Drosophila melanogaster: one gene and its partner. The gene in region 2 interacts genetically with the main gene of each other region. Each region holds a gene or a part of one and is shown on either strand. Other genes may lie near its edges.

Region 1 (9,367 bases), 6.8 Mb from region 2:
GATTCCCGCCGAGCATGTTGTTCCCAGAACCACCCGGGTTATTGCCGTGCGCGGGGGAGATGCCACCGGGACCTACTAGGCCGCCAGGCCCAGGACCTGGTCCTGGGATTGGTCCTCCAGGCATGTGACTGCCATGACCCGTTGGTCCGTTTCCGAGCGGACTGTGCAGAGGAGGAGGACCCATCTGCCCGTTGTTCATCGGTGGCTGCGGAGGTTGTTGTTGTTGCTGCTGTGGTCCGCCGGTATTGCCGGGATTCCCAGGGCCCGGTCCCGAGGGAGGGCCCAACGGGCTGCCAATTGGATTGCCCATTGGCGAACCCATAGGCAGTGAGTTCATTGGCGAGTTCTGCCCCGGACCGCCCATCGGTGAACCCTGCATGGCTCGCGGATTGGGTCCGTTGGGACCGCCTCCCATGGGCGACAGACCACCCATGCCCATGTGATGGGGTGATATGCTGGGGCCTCCCATTCCGCCCATTGGGCTCATGCCGCCCATGCCAGCTATTCCACCCATGGGACTACCCATTGGGACGGGTCCTCCAGGACCACCAGGTCCCCCTGGCCTTCCGTGATTCATATGCGGCGGTAGTCCGACGCCTGGTCCCGGTCCCATTTGATGGGGGTGCATGGGGCTCATTCCTCGCATTGGAGGTGGACCACCCATGTGCGGATGTGGGCCATGTGGGTGACCCATAGGTCCGCCTGGATGATGCGGGTGCATATGGGGATGCATGTGAGGCGGGGGAGGAGGTCCACCGCCCATGCCCATGCGGTCTTCCCAGTGCGGGTGCCCACCCGGTCCACCGCCGCCAAAGTGACCACCTCCTGGTCCGCCGCCCATCTGATTCATGGCCGCCATCGCCGCGGCCGCTGAGCTGGACATCGCCGACACCTGGGGACTGTCGTCGAATGGATTCGAGGCAATAATGGTGTCTCCGAAGCCTCCCATTGGCGGAGGGGGCAGCAAATCCTGCGGTGTGGGTGGCGCCTGCTGCTGCTGCATGGAATTCGCAGCAGCTGCTGCAGCCGCCGCCGCAGCCACCGCTGCAGCGGAGTTGGCGGCACTTGAGGTTTTTCGCCGCTTCTTCGGATTGCTCGGCGCCGAGATGATGTCCGTGGGAGGCGGCGGCTTAAAATCGGGCGGACAGAGTCCGCCCGCTGGACCCGGCAATCGATATGGCGCCATACCAAGATTGTGGGTCATATTCGAGGTGTTCTTCTTCCGAATGGTGGCAGCTTTTCTTCAACGGCGTGGGGCAAGAAATTCGGTTGTAGCGGCGTCGCCAATCCCGCGCAGGAGATCTCGACGCTGGTAAAGGAGTGGGTTTGGTTCTGATGTCCCTAGGGAGGTGGGCACAAATCCACTGGATCCTTCGGTGACCAACTACAATGGGTTATGCTTGGTGGGCTTGGGCTTTCTGCCGGTTATCCGGCCTGCGACCGCCTGGAGTTTGAGTTCCTGGGAGTGTGAAGGGTGCCAAATGAGTATCTGGCATCCTGTGGGTCAGTCCTCCTCAACTACTCACCAAGACATCTCCTGGCCAGGACCCTTATGAAAATCGCGTTTTTAAAGCAACTGACTCCCAAAACGCAGGTAAACACTTTCGGCGCAACGAACGGCAACCCCGCTTATTTTTCGGGTTGGCAACTCTACCCTGGAAACCCAGCGTCGTGTTGTCTCGTTTCAAAGCGCCAAGCACCTGCCGCTTCTCAGTTTCTTACTGATCCTTGATCACTTCAGGTCAGGAGTTCGTTTTTTTAGCACTCTGCACTGCGGTTTGCCACTAATTCCCCTTCATAAACCCTTCAAAGGGCGCTTTCTGGCAGCGCTCTTCTTCTTGCCAGCGATTTTATGTCCTCCGCTGCGCTTCCCGTTCCGTTTTAATTGCAGTGCAGCGCTTAACTGTTGTTTATTTACGGGTTCTTTTTGCGTTTGTCTTTAATCGGAAAACAAAACAACCGGCGGTTATTTCCCAAGGAAATTGTGTTAGGGTTTACGCGATTTGTGAAGCCTGCGTTTTCGGTTGGCTTTTTGTTGATTTGATGGCCACTGCAGCATCCACTTTTAATTAGCGCCGTTTATAGGAGCGGCACACGCACGGATTACCGTTACGCGGATTCGGCGGTCCGGCGGACTGACCACTGAACCGTTATATAGCAGCAGCACATTAACCTTTGTTTATTTTGACCAATTTTTGCGTGCGAAGAAGCGAAATATAAATAATTTTCATTGCAAGTCCGCCAGTGTGACCGTTTGCGCACGTCAAGAGAAATGCCGGAATTCCGTCGGCGGCTCAGTGTGGCCAAAGCAAGCCAGCACGAAGTAGTTTGCAACTACGTTAACATTTAAAAAGTAATAGGTTTAAAGGAGAAATTACGATTTGGACATACGTCATTTAAGTAATAAATATAAATTGCGTAAACGTATTAGCCCCAAGGTCAATACGTAGTGTGTCTTCATGCCGCCAATCGTCTATCGATATGCGGGTAATGTTATCGGCAAACTCTCAGGCGACGCTTGTTTATTGGCGGTGTTTAAATAAAGAGTTTAAAATTGGCAGGTTTTGCACATTAGGCTAGAGCGGATTGAACAGCAATGTGGAGCAACTTCGAGGCGTCCTCCCTGGAGGACGAAACCATCTCCAACATATTTTCGTCGCGAGGCATCTTCCAAATAAGCAGTGAAGAGGAAGTGAGTCCTTATTGTGCAGAATCTGCAGTTGGGTTTCTACGCTCGCCTTCTTTCATTGTCAGGTAAACAAATATCCAGATGTCATGGCCTCCGTGCAGTGCGGCAAGATGGTCATTGGCATCGACAAGAGCCTTTTGCTCCTGGAGGACGAACTGGTGGCCAAGTGCAGCTTTCTGGCATTCGGGGCAGCCATTGAGGCCATTGCCATTTCTTCAAGCGGCAACCTGATTGTATGCGGCCTCAGCGATGGCGAAGTTCACGGAGTGTTCATCAAGGGCCTGCTCCTGTTCAGCGTGGCCGTCAATCTGGAGGACGTGAGCCTAACTGGCGGGACCTTCCGGAGCATCCATCAACTGGATCAGCGGTTTTACTTCACCTGTAAGAATGGAAGCATCTATAGGTAAGCCATTCACAGAGATGGGCTCTGGCATATGCGTGATAAAACTGGATCTTGACATTATTTCATTAAACGATTCAAACGCTGTGTAGCTTAAGCGACATTGATGAGACCTGCTTGGAAACGTTAGGCAATATGAGCCTGAATGAAAACGAAACTATAGCTTGCGAAAAGGCCCTGCTCGAGGACGTCACCATTCAACGTCTTTCCAAGGGCAGATCCTCGTGCAGCGTGGACTGTGCAGTGCTGCTCAAGCGGCTGCTGACCGGCAACATCAGTGCCGAGAACAATCAGGATGATCTGGAGGCGCAACCCGGTCTAGTTATCACTGGAGATCAAAGCACTATGAACTTTAGGAATGCAGCCAATGACGTGACACGAATAAATTTGCCCGCTCAGTACGGCAGCCTAAAGCAGATCTTCAACTTGGAACACTATATGTGAGTGGGTTTGCTTATTGTGGTGCTAGAATCCCTCTAACGTGTATCTGGGTTTTGCAGTATCGCACTCACCGATTCCGGCCACTTGGTGGAGATTTGTCCATACACTCGCACAGTGTACATGTGTCAAACTACCCAACAAAAAAATCTGCTCATCGAGGATCTGCTGGTTATGGAGTGCAGCGAAGATAACATTGAGCTTCTGGTGCTGACGAAATCAACGGCGGAGGGACGCTTCATTAAGATAGTGGAGTACCCAAGTATGAGTCCAGCAAACATAAAACATAAACATACAGTAAGGCTAAAAACCTTGTGTCATTGCAGCGCTCAATGTGAAGAACGAGGTAGAAGTTCCTGATCACGCATGGCTTGTGCGTCAGCCTAAGTGTGCGGTCAATCTGTATTATCTGGCTGCCAAGGAAGTCAACCAGAGCAGCATACCCTCCGTGGTGGAGATGATGCTCGTTTCCGAGACCGACCCCAGTGATCGTTTTAAGAAGCTGATTTGCAAGGGGCGACTGGAGGAGGCTGAGGTATTGAGTATAATTGATCTCTTAGTCATTCATTATCCATTAACATTTGCAACAGGAATTTGGCAAGCAGTTTGAGCTGTGCCTCCAGCCCATCTATGAAGCCAAAGCGAAACGCATTTTGGTCGAGCTTTGCAACTCGAATTCACAAAACGTGGACACTAAATTCCAAGACTTGCTGCAACTGCTGTCTCAGGTGGAAAGTAAGGCATTCATAAAGAGCCATCGCATGATCAACTTGAACTCGAGGCACATCCTTGAGCGGTATCTTCACGAGGTCAAGAAGCGGTTGACTTTTGAGGACGACGAGGAGGATATGTTGGAAATCGACGAGCAACTGCACCGACTTAAAACTCTGGCCATAATAGATCCCTACGAATGCAACACGGATTGGCAGAAGTTTATTTACGATAACAACTTGGTCAGGATGGTCAAGTCGCTATTCAACACAGATATGCCCACGGCTTGTCTCATTTGGCGGCGGCATTCGAGCAGCATTCTGCCGCTGCTAAACGAAGATGAGTTGCGCACGCTTTTAGGGTTCATTCCGAGCAACACCAAGCCCTTCAACGTTGTCCAGTGGTTGCGTCAGTTCATTCCGATGGTCAGCAACACCCATCCTAGCATAATGCCCTTTATCACTGACTGGAGTATTGAGATGACGCGGAATCTGCAGTATAGTCCGCATTGGCCGGATATCGGCCTGGAGTTCTGCACAAAGATACTGGACATTTTTGAGGAAATCCAGTTTACTTACTCGTAGGCAAATCCTTTTTTCGCCCTAAAATATGATAGATTTAACTTGTATATCCGTTTCAGCGATGTGCGGCGTCAGCAAGAGCGCAACGTTGGAAAACTGCGGGATCTTGTCAACGCACTGCAGGATCTTTCTGTGCTTAAGACCAACTATAACATGGGCTTTACACTGGACAACTACATGCAGGATTCCATCGACGCCACTGCGTTGAGCATTTTGCAACACGTTCAACTAGATAAGCTTCAGCGTCTGGTGAAGAACTTCATGTACCCGATCTTCCAGGAGAAGGGACGGCAGCCACTGGACGTGATTAAACAGTACATATCACAGTTAGTAGCCAGTCGGCTATCTTCTAGTTCATGGCTGGATCGGGCGATGGCTTGCATTGAGCTGCTTCACAACGAAGACAGCCGTTTGGAGTGCGCCTTGTCTGTGCTGCAAAACGCACCTGTGCCCTGGCCTGATACACTAGCTCCTCTAATCCGGCTGCGTGCCTCCACTCATCCATTGGCCGTGAAGATCAATGCCGAGTATGAGATTCAGGTGATTAAGATCATGAAGGTCAAGTACGGCTGGCCGGCCGACAGCTCCGATATCAACCTGGAGCTTTTCATGATGCGCATTGTGAAGTTGAACCTTCCGGACATGCTGGACGACATCAGCGCCCTCACCAAGGCGGCGCCGGAGTTATCAACTAGTGCCAACTTTAACTGCTGCTATCAAATGGCACGGAGAGGACAAGTTGAGATGGCTTATGAATTCTTCAAAAAGCTGAATGGTGAGAAAAATTCGAAGAGCGCGAAGGAAGTGGTGGAGATCATGGCTAACATCTTGGAGAACAGCTCCTCTGCTTCGTTTGAAAGTGATATTAAAGTGCAGGAGCACCTGAACGTCCTTGAGCTTTTTAAGTTGTTCTTGCCGCATGTTGAGTCCGTTTATGAGCGCCGCTACCTAGTGATCAAGCATCGTTTCCGCCTAAGGAAATTCGGCATCCTTTTGAGCTGCAGCAGCGAGCTGATACCGCTGCACAGACGTCATTGCCTTCTGGATGAGGCCATTGAAAGGATAATTGAGCGGGCCCAGGCCACGCTGAATGTGTCCGCATTCATAGCCAGCGAAATAAGCGAACTGTGTACCGCTCTCGGTCTTCCGAAAGTATTTGGTTTGCACCGCATTTGCCAACGCATTGGATGCCTGCCCCTCAGCTGCGCCCTCGCTTATCATGTTGTAAGCTTCGTCGACTGTGTGCCCGCCAATGCAGGCGAGTTCGTCAATCTTGCACTTGAGCTGCTGGTTCAGCAAATTGAAAGCGCCAAGGGAAAGAATCAGGGTAAGTCGTATACAGCTATGCAACAATGGGATTGAACGAAAAATCCATTTATGTTTTGCAGAAACGGCCTCCTCCCTGCAGTTGATCAATGAAAACGATCCGCTTAGCTTTTATTTAGCGTACGAGTTGCTCACCTCCGCCCTGCTCCACGAGAGCAGCCGTCGTCACGATCTAGTTGAACTCATCAAATACATACGCGTGGCCGTAATCCACTACCCGCTAGACGCCATTAAGAGTCACTACGACGGCAAGGAGCAGGCCGTCAACGAGCACATCTGCCGGGCCCTCGATGGGATTTCGGTAGCCCTGGGCGAAACCACAATAAACTTCAGTTGTGCTCTTAACGGATCCTTTGACGTGAAGACTCTGACGGTTCCAACGACTACGAAGAAGCGCTACTCGGTGTCCATGTTTGATGAAGTAGAAGTGCAGCCTATCCAGCAGCAGCCTCAGAAGGTATTGATCGTAGACAGCTATAATTGACTATAGTTATAATGCTTTCTGTTGTCTTCGAAGAAAAGCGTCGGAGGTCGCATGGCAATAGTGAAGTTCTTGGCTCGCACTCTGTTGCTTATGGTAATCGAAACGGAGCCAAACAACTCATTGCTGATGCAGGTTCGCAATGAACTGCCGGAGAACACAAAAGCGGATGTCGAAAGTGCTTGCGCTGACTTCTTTCTGTCACTGGAGCACTTGACGAAGGTGAAGGAGCACGACGCTTGGTACGTTATGTCGCAATATCTGCTGGATTTCCAGAAGCAAAACTGTCGCACGAAGCGGATCATCAACGAGGGCTTTATTACGCTGCAGCTGCGCCGCATATTCCGAAATGCGATGGGGAGCAAAGATGTGAACTTCATAGAGCTTTTCACCATGTTGGTGGTGGACAGCGAGGCACTAGCGCTGCTGGAGAAGCTCTCCGTTGAAGTAAAGACCGATCTGCAAAAAATCAACTTCCTGACACTATCCGCCATGTACCACGAGCATATCGAAGACTTGGACAGTGTGCACATGATACGCACCAAGTAAGTGAAGTATTACATTAAAAGTCTAGATGTTAAACTTCGTTTTATTGGTTTGCAGGAGATTGAAACTCTTCTATTACCTGGAGTTTTGCCAACAGGATCATAGAATAAAGGGCAAGTTCAATGCCGACATGGACAACATAGAGGACCTGCTTAAGGAGTTTCACAATAAGCAACTTGACGTTCAGCTTTTGGAACGCATGAGCAAGGACTTTGGGTTCGACTACCAAAAGATTCTTATTACCCAGATACTAAGCATATTGAGCGCCCAGGAGTTGCGCTTCGAGGTGAAGAGGGATACCTTCGGCGACGAGGAACTGGTTATGCTAAGCAGCGCCCAGGAAATGCGCGATATGTGCCAACCGTACATTAATGAAATCAATAATGTCGAGCTCTTTACTTCCAAGTTAAAACACTTTATTGAAGACGTAAGCTCACTGATGCCACAAATAATCTTTTTTTTAATATCTTTGCAAATCGTTTAGATCAACATTTACTTCTACGAGTTGTACATGTGTGTGATCAACATCCTAATGTACTTCGATTCGGCTCCGAAGGAAATGGAAATCTGGATGAACATTTTGCACTTCCTGAGACACAAGATGATCACCAGAAGACGCAATCGGCCAGGTCAGGTGGAAACCGACACGTGGCTGAAATCACAAAGGGAAAATGGCGTTATGCCGAAGATATCTCGATATCGTCTGCCTTTTAAGCCCATCGTAGAGCAACCTCTTAAGGATATTCTTGGTATATTCAACTGAAATAGTTTAATGCTTAATGCTTCTGTTTAATTATAGTTTCCGCTTCTTCTATTCAGACAGCGAACTAAACGTGGACAACTGCCAAAGCTGGTTTCCACTGATTCAGATGTACACGGCTTTGAAGGGATCCAAGGATAGTTCCCAGAACTGTGACTACTTCTGCATGTCAGCAGTAAAGAATTCGATATCGGAGTACAAGTCGAAAAATGATTCGGAATCATGGAGTCTTCATCCCACGAATAATGCCTTCCTGCAGTCAATACTACGACTGGTCGAGAAGGTGAACAACCCAAACAAGGCATTTCTAATACTGTACTTCGTGTCCAACTATGCTCGTGATGGAGCCGATCAGGTGGAGGCCTCCTACGAGTGCTGGAAGTTTGTCAAGGAGAAGGGCCACCTGATTACAGATCCAAAGAGTCGCGAGCAGGTTGCCAAGGTGAAGCGACGGTATCCTATTCAGAAGACCCAGCACCTGCTGTATGTCTATGGCCTGACCGATGAGAAGCTACTGCGCCAAGTTGAGAACCCCACCGAGCTTATTCAGGCGCTCTACCACCATGAGCTGATCCTCAAGTCCAGCAAAGTGGATATTAACGCTCTGGTCGCAGAGATAGCCAAGCTGCACGACCTCTGCTTAGCCACCATCCAGTACCGCCTGCTACAGAAGTGGCTCGCTCTGACTATGGAGTCTGCGGGTGATGGTACCATTTTGGAGGAGACCTTCATGGAGGAGCAGAACTGGCCGGAGCAGGCCAACGGCGCAGAGTCCTCCAACAGCCAGGACGCCAGCGAGAACGTAAATAGAGCGTTTTACATACTTTCCAGTTGGCCAAAGGCGGAGGCAGTCAAGTTCCTTGTGGGTCTGATCTTCAAGGGCGGGTAAGGATTGGTACTTAAAAGTTAGCGAAAATAATTCATTGAATAAACCCTTCCACCAGTTCGGTAAACACCTCCACACAGCTGCAAATGTACGAGTGCTATTCCAAGCTAAACGATGGCAGCAACTCCTTTACCAACACGATTAGCCAACGCCAGTTCATCAGCATCAAGTGTGTGCACGAGCTCAAGGCTCTGGGCTACAAGTCGAACCTGGAGAAGTTCTCCGACGACCATTGCAACAAGATTGACATTCTGAAGATGATCTGGCAGCGTAATGCGCAGAATCCCCTTTCGCTGGAAGTCATGGCCAACATTTGCCTGGGCTTTGATATACACTTGCCGCAGATCTGGAACGGCATTCTGAAGCGCATGGTCATGTTCCATATGGTGCGCGAGCTGAACGCCTTGTTGGATGTACTCAGCTGCCGGCCGCATCTACTTCACCTGGATGGACTGGCCCAGGCCTGGGACTATGTGCTCTGCCATCCTCTGCAGAACGCAGTCGAGCTACGATCCTTTAAGCAGGAAGAGGTGCTCCACAAGACGCTGC
Region 2 (9,815 bases):
ATGTTATACGAATCTATTATATATGCATATTCAATCCAATTTACAGTACTCCATATATGTACATTTTAAAGGGGCATTAATTAATATACACGCGGATTTAAACTTATATACTTGGGGCAATCTCTCTCAGAAAGAGCGACACGAGTGGCATTCGTTGTGGTCGTCGGCGGAGGAGCACGAATAGTGGGTAAACTACTGCATACTAATATCGGTGTAACTAAGTGTTTGACAAAGTGATTACTAATTTAACTATATAATTACAAATATGTAATTGTTTTGTGAATACATGCATACCTACCCGAATAAACATAGGCGCAGCAAGTCTGCGTTAGCAAATACACTTGAATTTGACTTTCAATTGTCTTTATTCTTCAGTTTCTTTTGTGGTTTCCTATAAAAACAATGCACTTAGTTTTCATTCTAAAATATTAGTTACATTTTTCGTTTGCAGCATATACATGTTAACTTAATACTTAATTATTTTACATTGTTAAGACGGTCTTAGATTATCTTAAACTATTTCTAATTGTCTCCAAAAAACTAGCATGGTCTAAGAATTTATGTGACTATTTTAAAACACAACACAGAATGGTTTTAACATTAAACATTTAAAGATGAATTTTCCTAAATCTAAAACATGTCGATCTGCAGCTTGCACAAAATCGTATCGAAGGCGTAAACGGACGAGATAAACGTGTAGGGACTGTAGCGGATGATTCCGAAGTCCGGCTCCAGGCTGGGCAGGGAACACGGCGTGAAGTTTATCTTTTGGCTCTTATACCGTCCACTTGTCATTGGCGGCGGCTTGCGTGCATTTTGCTTCATCTTTTCCTTGCGGGCCACGAGCTTCTTAGTTTCGCGCACCATGTAAATGGCCTCTGGGTTGGTCATATAGTCGTGAATGATCTGGAAGGCATTAAGAATATGATTAAAAACTCGCTAAAACCTAATCCTCTCGCTATTTAGCTACCTTTCGCTTTTTAGGACAGTGGGCGAATACCCAAATGAGGGTGCACAAAGTGTTGAATATCTCACTGTCTTTGTCGCACCAGCGCAATAACATCTGGGCAATGGTGACCAAACCGCCCTCCTGGAACGTGTTCACCGTGGTGCTATTGTAGCGGGCCAAATTTAGGATGATCCGGCTGCAGCGCTCTATAAGCTGCTTATCCACCTCTGATCGAATGGCCTGAGCCATGATGCCATAGCAAAACGTGGACATGAACTCCGAACACCACATGAGCAGGTGTGGCACAGTGCGCGAAAGACGATCTGCCGGGATTATTAAGCAGGATTAGTTATAATAAGGACTAACGTAGCTGGATCACTTACCCAATCGACTTAGCACTGCTAACGCATCTGATGCGATAAAGCGTCCGCGAAGGAAACGCACCGCCTCCTGGACTTTGCAGCGCACAGAGTTTACCGCCTTTGCCTCTTGCCGCAGCTGAGCAATACGCTTCCGGATATCCAAGAGACCCTGGTGCTTCTGACGTCGTCGGATTAGATAGCCCCGCCAGTAACGCTGTATAACCTTGGCGGCGCGCTTCTGGCGGATGAGGTCCATCATCTCGGGTGTCATCAGGGCCTGGAATCGTTTGCGAGCCATAAAGCCGCGGGCACGTGCCTGGAAGCCCGGCATGGAACAGCGGAGCAGTTGGAAACAATTACGCTGCTCAATCATTAGACGCTTGCCACGGAACTTTTGTTGCAAATGGACTGCAATAGTACGCAGCTGGACAAATTCCTGGCGTGCCTGCTTCATGCTGCGATTAGCACGGAATTTGCGCTGCACCAGGATCACAGAGGATTGGATTAATTGGTAATCCTGTCTCGCCTTTAGCATAGCACAGCGAGCACGAAACCGGCGCTGGATCACTACGGCAGCCCTTCGCTTCATCTCGAATTCCCTGCGCTGCTGACGCATCAGTAAAGTTGCTCTGATAAATGCCTGCATAAGTCGCACTTTGCGGATGGTGCTTAAGAAGATCTCCCGTTGGCGACGAGCCTGCACTGTGGCCCGCCACTTGCGTTGAATGCTCAATGAACTGAGTCGAATCCTTCGGTAGCCCGCTTTGCACAGCCGCATGTCGCGTATACTGCGCCACCATTTCTGCAAGCGGATGACTGCCTGGCGCTGTTTTTGGTAGACTTCAATCTGCTTCCTCATCTCCAGATTGCCGCGGTATCGTCGTTGCACTTTGATAATGGCTTCCCTTTGCTTTTGGTACAAGACCACCTGCTTTTGCATTGCCTTCTTGGCTCTATATCGGGTTTGAATGGTAATAGCTGCCTGTTTCAGCTGGGCGTAACTCTTCAACTGCTTGATCATATTCAGACGAGCTCGGTACCGTCGCTGCAGTGTTATTGCTGCTTGACGCAGTTGTAAGAAACTGTTCCTCTCCCGTTTCCTAAGGAGATGATTACGCCAATGCATCTGCAGGCAGCTCACAGCAGCCTGGGTGCCGCGGTACTTGGCTCGCATGAACCGCATTGATTTTTGAGCATGGAATCTGCGCTGCAGCTTTATGGTAACCTCGCGCAGATGTAGGTACTCCTGGCGCTCCTTTCGCATCTGCAGCAAAGCCCGCCGACGTTTCTGGACTACAAGGGTAACCTTTTTCAGCTGAAGAAACTCGGCTCTTTGCTTTTTCATTTCGCGCTTGGCACGGAACTTGATTTGAATTCGTTTGGTTGTCGTTTGGAGATGAAGGTAGTTCTTCCTTTCTCGACGCATCTGCAGAGTGGCTCTCCAGCGCCTCTGGACATTGATGATACATTTGCGGGTTCTTAAATATGCATTTCTATCCTGGATCATTTGTTGACGCATGCGGTAGCGTTTTTGAACTAGTATTGAAGCATTTCGCAGCCTCAGATAATTTTCCCTCTGTTCGCGCATTTTCATGATGGCCCTCAGTCGCTGTTGCAGGCAGATAACATTTTTTCGCAGGGAATAGTAGTGATTACGATCTATTCTCATCTGGATTGTGGCTTTCCTGTAAGCCTGAACTTTAAGAACGCTGGAACGAAGTGCCAAATAATCAGCGTTGCACTTTCTCATTGAAAGCTTCGCTCGCCAGCGTTGTTGGATATTTATAGCTGCACGCTTTAGTTGCTGGAACTCCTTGCGCTGCTCCAGCATACTCCACTTGCTTCGCATCCTGCGCTGAACAAACATGATGAGGTCCCTCTGGCGCAGGAACTGCTGTCGCTGAATTCTGCCCAGCTGATAGCTTCGCCATTGCATTTGAATATAACTAGCAGCTGCCTGTTGTTTTTGCGATCGCTGAAGTCTGGCTGTTTCCGCCGCCGCCAATAGTTTTTTGGCAAAGAGTCGTCGCCGCCAGATCCGCTGAAGAAAGATCGCAGCCTCTCGGAGCTCCACAAACCGCTGGCGGTGCTGCCTTCCCAGTTGTTGGGCTCGCCACCAGCGCTGGATGGTGATAATACTGTGATAGCTCTGATATAGCTGCTTCTGGGCCAAATACCGACGGGTGAACTTTTGCAGAATTATTGCGGCCTGAGTGCGTTCCGTCTTAAACAACTTCACGTACTTTCTCATCTGGTGGCCACGGAACACGGCCTGAATGACAGTAGCGGCCCGGTGGCGACGCATAAGCTCTTTGTGGCGAATGCGACGCTGGATAACAACGTGCAGCCAGTGACGGCGCCACCATTTCTGGAGCACCGTGGCCGCCGCATGAAACTTGGGCGAGCGGAATTTGTAAATAAGTTGCCAGAGCAGGGAAAGCGTCTTCTCACGATGTCCGTCAACGATGTCTTGGGCGGCGATGTCGCCGCCTAGCTGGAAGTTGGCTTCACCAAGTGCGCCCAGAGCTAGCTTTACATTGAAGATCCGCTGAAGGCGAGAGATGGCTGGCACCCTTAACTGGCGGGTTAGATCATCGCGTAGTAAAATTACCTCCATGACTCGGGTTAGTCTCACGCCATCTCTTAGGTCCACAGCCAAGTTGTTGAAGGCATAATCGAACTCGTCCAAAAATGTTTGGCGGTGCTGTAGAACGTAGCCCAGGCGACGAAGTTCCCGCGTAATATCACCAATGTTGGCGAGCAGCTCCGACGAGAAGCGCAGCAGAATATCCTTGGTCTCTTTATGTGGCGACTTTTTAACAAACAAACAGGGATTGTGCTTGACGATGCGCTTCTGCTTAGCTTGATCGAGGAAAAGCAGCAAAAAGAGGATTTTCTGCAATGAGTGCTTCTTAATGGTCTCCGCGTACTCTTCGGTGAGTGTGTATGCCTTGCTGTACCTCTGCTCCTCACACTTATTCCGGAACAAGCGATTGAGGATAAAGGTGCTGAGGCCTACAATGTCTCGATTAGACTGCATCTGGATCTTCTCGCCAAAGACCACTTCCAGTCCAAGGCGCAGCCAAAGGGGATTGAAGCAAAGCAGCAGCTCAAGTATGGTGCGTTGCATAACTACGTCTAGGTGAAGATTACGATCGCTACGGATGCGCAGAGCTTGCTTGTTGACATATACGGCCACTTTGGAGCATGGCAGGCGCATCTGCTCACTGAAGAAGAGCTCCACAGCCGCCTTACGAAGCGTCTCCAGGCGGTATTTCGTTAGGTAGTTCATAGACTGCTCCTCCTTGGTGGGAGCCACCACGAGCTCTTTGTTGCGCACCTCGTTAAACAGCTTACCAACGTCTATTTTGTTATTTAAATCTGCGTCCAGGTCAGCGGGTATGGAGACAAGGGCATTTAACCACTTTTTAAAGTCAGCTTGATGACGATCCACAGCCTGTTCATCCAAATACATGGTAGATGCCAGAAATGGATCAATTGTCGTAGTTGCTGCAAATGGATCCGGGTTGATGCACGTCTGCATATACAGCTCCGAGTCATAGAGCTTGACGGAAGGCTGAATGCTAGTGTCCCTGACTTTTCGTGGTGTGGCGGGCTTCTTCATCAGTGACATGGTTTGTGCTAGCTTAAACTTCTTGGATTGGGCGTGTGGCCAGGCGTGGGCACTACTGCTTCTTGCAGATGCATTTGCCGGCGCTGCACTTCTGGGCAGAGTAGTGTCCTCAACCCGTTGCTTTTTAGGAGGGGAAATGGCTACAGTTTCATTGCGGTACAATGATTCGTTGCTAGGTGCATCCGAAAAACTCAACTCATGAGAGCGGCGCTTGTGAGGATTCTTCACCGGACTTCCCTTCACCGACTTCCGACCTACTTCATGGAGATTAAAACGACTGGACTGAGCGAGGATCTCACTGTGGTTGAATAGAAACTCCTGCTGGCCGGCCAAACTAGCCTCGCTACTAGAGGAGCTATTCAAGTCTTTGGCCTTTATCTGGATCTGCTGCTCCTGGTAATATCTATTCTGTTCGATCGAGCGGATTTTCATTTCATTTAGATTAGGCATAGACCCTTGAATGGCATACTTAGTTTGTGGCGATAGAAGTGACAAATCTTTCATGGACTCGGAATACTTTCGTAAGGGTGAACCCACCAACTTAATGTCCCTCTTCAGGTCGTGTATGGCGCTCTTCGTGGGCGTCCTAGGTGGACTTGGTCCCTCCTCCTCATGAATACAGGCCAGAGCTCTGGTGTGCGTGGCATGCACAATGGTTGTTGTCTTATTTAGGGGCGTATGCGGTTGTCCATCGATCCTGGAGCAGTCCAAGGTGTCCAACGAAATATTGATAGTCTCGGAATGCTTTACATCGAACGTTTTGTTTGTGGCAGGCTGATCTTCTAGATCATCTGGAGTGATTCGACGCGGCCGCATATCATTAGCACATGATTTTACATTCCCTTTAAGTGTTGGTGTGGGCCAGGCTGCCAGATTGTCCGGGAAAATGGTAGCTTGTCCTTTGCCACGGGTTTCGGTGAGAGGTGTGAATCGCAGATTGTCAATCACGTCGAGTAGGTTTCCTGGCGTCATAGGGCTTAGATTTTCCTTAAGACTGCGAGGCTGTGGTGATATGTATACGGGCTCTTCTTGTGGAGTCTTGTATACATTCTTCTCGACAAGAGGAGCCTGTGGAGGTGGATGTGCCCATGCAGCGGGACGCGAAGGAGCAGTCACTCGCCATGTCTGCTTGGAGGGAGGCGCTGCTGCTGCAGACATGCGCTTCTTTTGCTGCACAGCAGCGGATACCACGCTTTTCATTGTCTTGCCAGCTCCTGTCGGCGATTTCAGCTGCAGGGTCTTGCCGACAGTAGGAAATTTGCGCGGGTTCTTCAGGTAGAAAGGTAAGAGATACATGCAAAAGAGGGTATGTAAGTAAAAGGGGTGGCAAATGCATTTTTTGACTGACCTTGACCGGCTGGTTGCTCTTGGACTTGAGTATGATCATCACCTCCTTTCGGAAGTTGCGGTTGTCTATTAGCTGCAGCGTCTCCTTGCAGGCCACCTCAAGGACGGGGCTCCACACTAGCTCCATGGATACCTCATCTCTTGCAGGCACCGTGTGCTCCATCCACTCCAGGCTTAAGTTGTGCTCCTCCCGGATGGCCTTCATTACCTTGACCTGTAAAACATTGATCAAATAACAGTTGCCAGGCCGTATGCAACCCACTAACCTCGATGTCGTCGTCGCTGGGATTGAGAACGCGCACCTGGCGCCGTGCTGTCTTTGTTATCGGCACATCCTCGAACTGCACAATCGCCTTGGCGGAGAACGGAGCCATGACGACGACGGCGGGCTCGCGTCCTTCGGCGCGCTTCTTTTGCTTTAGGCGCGATGGCGTCACTGTGATCTGTAAGTACCGGTAATCTAGTTATTTCTCGGAAAATTATTGCCGGAGTTCCAAAAAGAGGACTCAACTAACCTCAAAGGCGCTCATTGCAGGGAATGGCCAAAACAGAAATAACTTGAACTAAACAGAAACGGGCTCGCAGCTAACTTAGTGGTCCATTAACACAGCGACTAACTAATCAATTAACACAATTAACGAACAAAAATTAAACAAATTAGAGCGTCGCCGCACAAATCCAAATTCGAACTGAAATTCGAAACGAAGCGACGCCGATACTCGATTGCTTGATTGCTGGAGCAAAGGGCTATCGAACAATTCGACCTATCGATTGTGAAATGTTAGGGGTCTTCAGAATGGTTTTCGATAGACTTAAAAATATAAGGATTACATTTGTCCGCAATTTTTAAACATAAATTATTTAATATGATAAGATCATTCTAAGGAATATTATTTTGTGTAATTTTACATAAATTGTGAGTAACCCAGATGTGTTAACACCACCAATCGATATCCTCAGTGTGAACGTTGCACAGTTTTATAGCGCCAAATTCAAATGTGTATTATCACAGATATAAATATTATGTGCCTTTAAAAATAAAATATAGGGTAAACAAAATGACTCGAAATATCTTTTATTCACAATCTATTTACAAATTTCAACAACAAACATTAAACTCTAAATCCCTTCGCTGGACCTCTCATTTTATCTAAATGAGTCTGCTGGGTGGCAGGAGGTGGTCGCTGCCCGTTTCTGAGGAATACATGCTCTTGAGATAGCCCGGAAAGGGTGTAACCGCGTCGAAATCCTCGCCAACAGAATCTTCCGGTGGATCCACGGCCATGAAGGAGATGGCGAAGCCTCTCAATGAGTTACTCTCGTCCGTTTGGAATCGCAACAGAAGGGTGTCCGAGTTGGAGATTATGATTGGCGGCTTGTGCTTTCCGCAAAATCTGCCGTGGATAGTGTTCATTGAGTAGCCCTCCTCGGTGATCTCCAGATAATCGTAGTCGCATCGCTCCGAGTACTCGATCTCGAAGTGTAGGAAACGGATCTTGACACTGCTTTCCGGGTCTGCCTGAATGCGCCAATCGCAGTACATGTTCCGCTTGTACGGCCTACTGCCGTATCGTGGATGCGAGTAGAAGGTCTGTGAATGATTTGTGGCCCTCAAGTAGCCACCACATTCGGAGACAAAGGTGGCCTTGAAACCCTTTCTCTGAAGACCCGCATCCGTGGCCAGTACCATAAACATCTCATTGGTGGAGGCAATAACGGCATACGGTTCACGTCCACCGCAATAGATGCCCAATGTTGAGCTATTTTCGGAGCGACCATCATAGATAGCCACATAGTCGTAGATGCACTCCTGGTGGCTCTCCACCTCAAAGTCGTGGAATGTCAACTGTATCCGGTGGCCCAGTACGGTCTGAAAATGCCAGTAGCAGTAAATGTTTCTTGGATAATCCTCCGGATAGTTGGGACTCTGCAACACTCCATACGACGTGGTGATCTCGAACTTGCAACGCGTCTCCGTGCAGTTGTGTCCATTTTCAGCCAATGTGTATCCATTGCGGCAGCTGCACTGATAGGATCCAAAGGTGTTTCGGCATCGGTGCTGACAGCCACCATTGTTCATTGAACACTCATCCACATCTGTGGAATAATGATATTATAGATCGTACGTAAATTAATTTTTTTCTGTAAGTTACCTATTACAAACTTGGCCACAAATCCACTTCTCTGGACAGTGCGATCCGAGTAGAACTCCAGCCTGAGGATACTCTGCTCGGAATTCACCACTGGAGGTAGTTCATGACCACAATAAATGCCAATCTTCTTCAGGCGATTATCCCTCATTTTGGAGTATATAATCAGGTAATCATAGTTGCACTTGGTGTAGTGAAACCGTGTGCCCTCCAAATCAAAGTGGGAAAAGTTTAGGAACACCGCGTGATTCGGTGGCGCAACCACTTCCCAAACGCACTGCTTGGAGTTGGGATACACATCCGGATACGATGGTGAGTAGAGCGAGCCATTGGATTTGGTGGCGTCCACGACTCCTCCACACGCGTCCTCGCAGGTCTTTCCATTTGCCTGCAACTCGTATCCCGCTCGACAGCCACATTGGTAGCTACCCAAGGTGTTGATGCACAGGTGCTGGCATCCATGATCCGTGAACTTGCACTCATCCACGTCCAGCATCAAGGCGGCTGAGAATCCCAGCTTTTGCACCGATGAGTCGGATACGAAACGGATGTACATCTGGTTACTGCGGGTTCTAAGTGGATATTCACTTGGTTAGTGATCATTTTTCCTTTGAAAGTAACTTACTTTATGTTGGGCGGCAGTTTATCTCCGCAGAAGCGTCCTATGAGCCGCGAATCACTGTGATTGCCATCCCGTATCTCCACAAAGTCGTAGGCACACCCGTCGTGCTTCTCCAGCTCAAAGCTCTGGAACTTCAGGGCCACCTGGTGGTTATCCGGAGCCGTGATCCGCCACACGCACTCTTTGTCCGGCATGTAGTCCATAGGATAGTTGGGAGAGTCTATGGACTGATCTTTGGTCAGCTTTAAGTCCCCACCACATACCACTGGAATGGAAAAATTAGTTTGTGTTTTTCTTTGAAAAGTTTAAAACTTACCCTCGAATCTCGCCTTGAATCCACGGTAACCTTTGGCTGCATTCCTGTTGACATAGTTGAGAAGCATGCGACTTGTCTGGGTGGTGATGACCTCTCCGCTGACATTTCCGCAGATTCGTCTCACCAGTGGCGATTTGTGCCAGTAACCATCCCTAATCTCCAGGTAATCCTGAGTACAATCGTCGGAGCTCATCAGATGCAGCTGCTGCAGATGCAGGATGACCTTTTCCCCATTGGTGGCCGTGATCCGCCACTCGCAGTTGGTCAGCGAGGCATCGAACTCAGATTCCGCGGACGGATCTTCCCCAGCATCACCACTGCCCTCGAATTCGCTGAGTACTCCATTGCCGGAGTATATAAAGTGTGGACTCACTATATGTCCAGAATTCTGCTGATATGTTCGTCCACAGGAGGCGCACTTATAAAGCAAATTGG

Evidence for each region. A genetic interaction does not mean that the proteins touch.
Region 1: of asp (region 2) and rod, changing one suppresses a phenotype caused by changing the other (phenotypic suppression), as found in Drosophila melanogaster (one study listed by BioGRID).

Annotation. Positions count from the first base shown.
Region 1 is NT_033777.3:31,578,427-31,587,793, forward strand, and holds the start of rod (rough deal), read left to right. Parts: upstream 1-2,524; 5' UTR 2,525-2,596; coding exon 2,597-2,692; intron 2,693-2,754; coding exon 2,755-3,092; intron 3,093-3,181; coding exon 3,182-3,529; intron 3,530-3,589; coding exon 3,590-3,789; intron 3,790-3,853; coding exon 3,854-4,062; intron 4,063-4,117; coding exon 4,118-4,818; intron 4,819-4,878; coding exon 4,879-6,146; intron 6,147-6,207; coding exon 6,208-6,602; intron 6,603-6,662; coding exon 6,663-7,171; intron 7,172-7,229; coding exon 7,230-7,599; intron 7,600-7,656; coding exon 7,657-7,921; intron 7,922-7,991; coding exon 7,992-8,817; intron 8,818-8,876; coding exon 8,877-9,367. Other genes in the region: pygo (pygopus), read right to left, coding at 1-1,204.
Region 2 is NT_033777.3:24,751,048-24,760,862, reverse strand, and holds asp (abnormal spindle), read right to left. Parts: upstream 7,015-9,815; 5' UTR 6,823-7,014; coding exon 6,808-6,822; intron 6,736-6,807; coding exon 6,559-6,735; intron 6,507-6,558; coding exon 6,294-6,506; intron 6,215-6,293; coding exon 1,333-6,214; intron 1,273-1,332; coding exon 971-1,272; intron 907-970; coding exon 631-906; 3' UTR 350-630; downstream 1-349. Other genes in the region: tld (tolloid), read right to left, coding at 7,443-8,389, 8,446-9,014, 9,068-9,329, 9,381-9,815. UniProt on the Drosophila melanogaster protein: Required to maintain the structure of the centrosomal microtubule organizing center (MTOC) during mitosis. May have a preferential role in regulating neurogenesis. Required for germ cell mitosis and oocyte differentiation.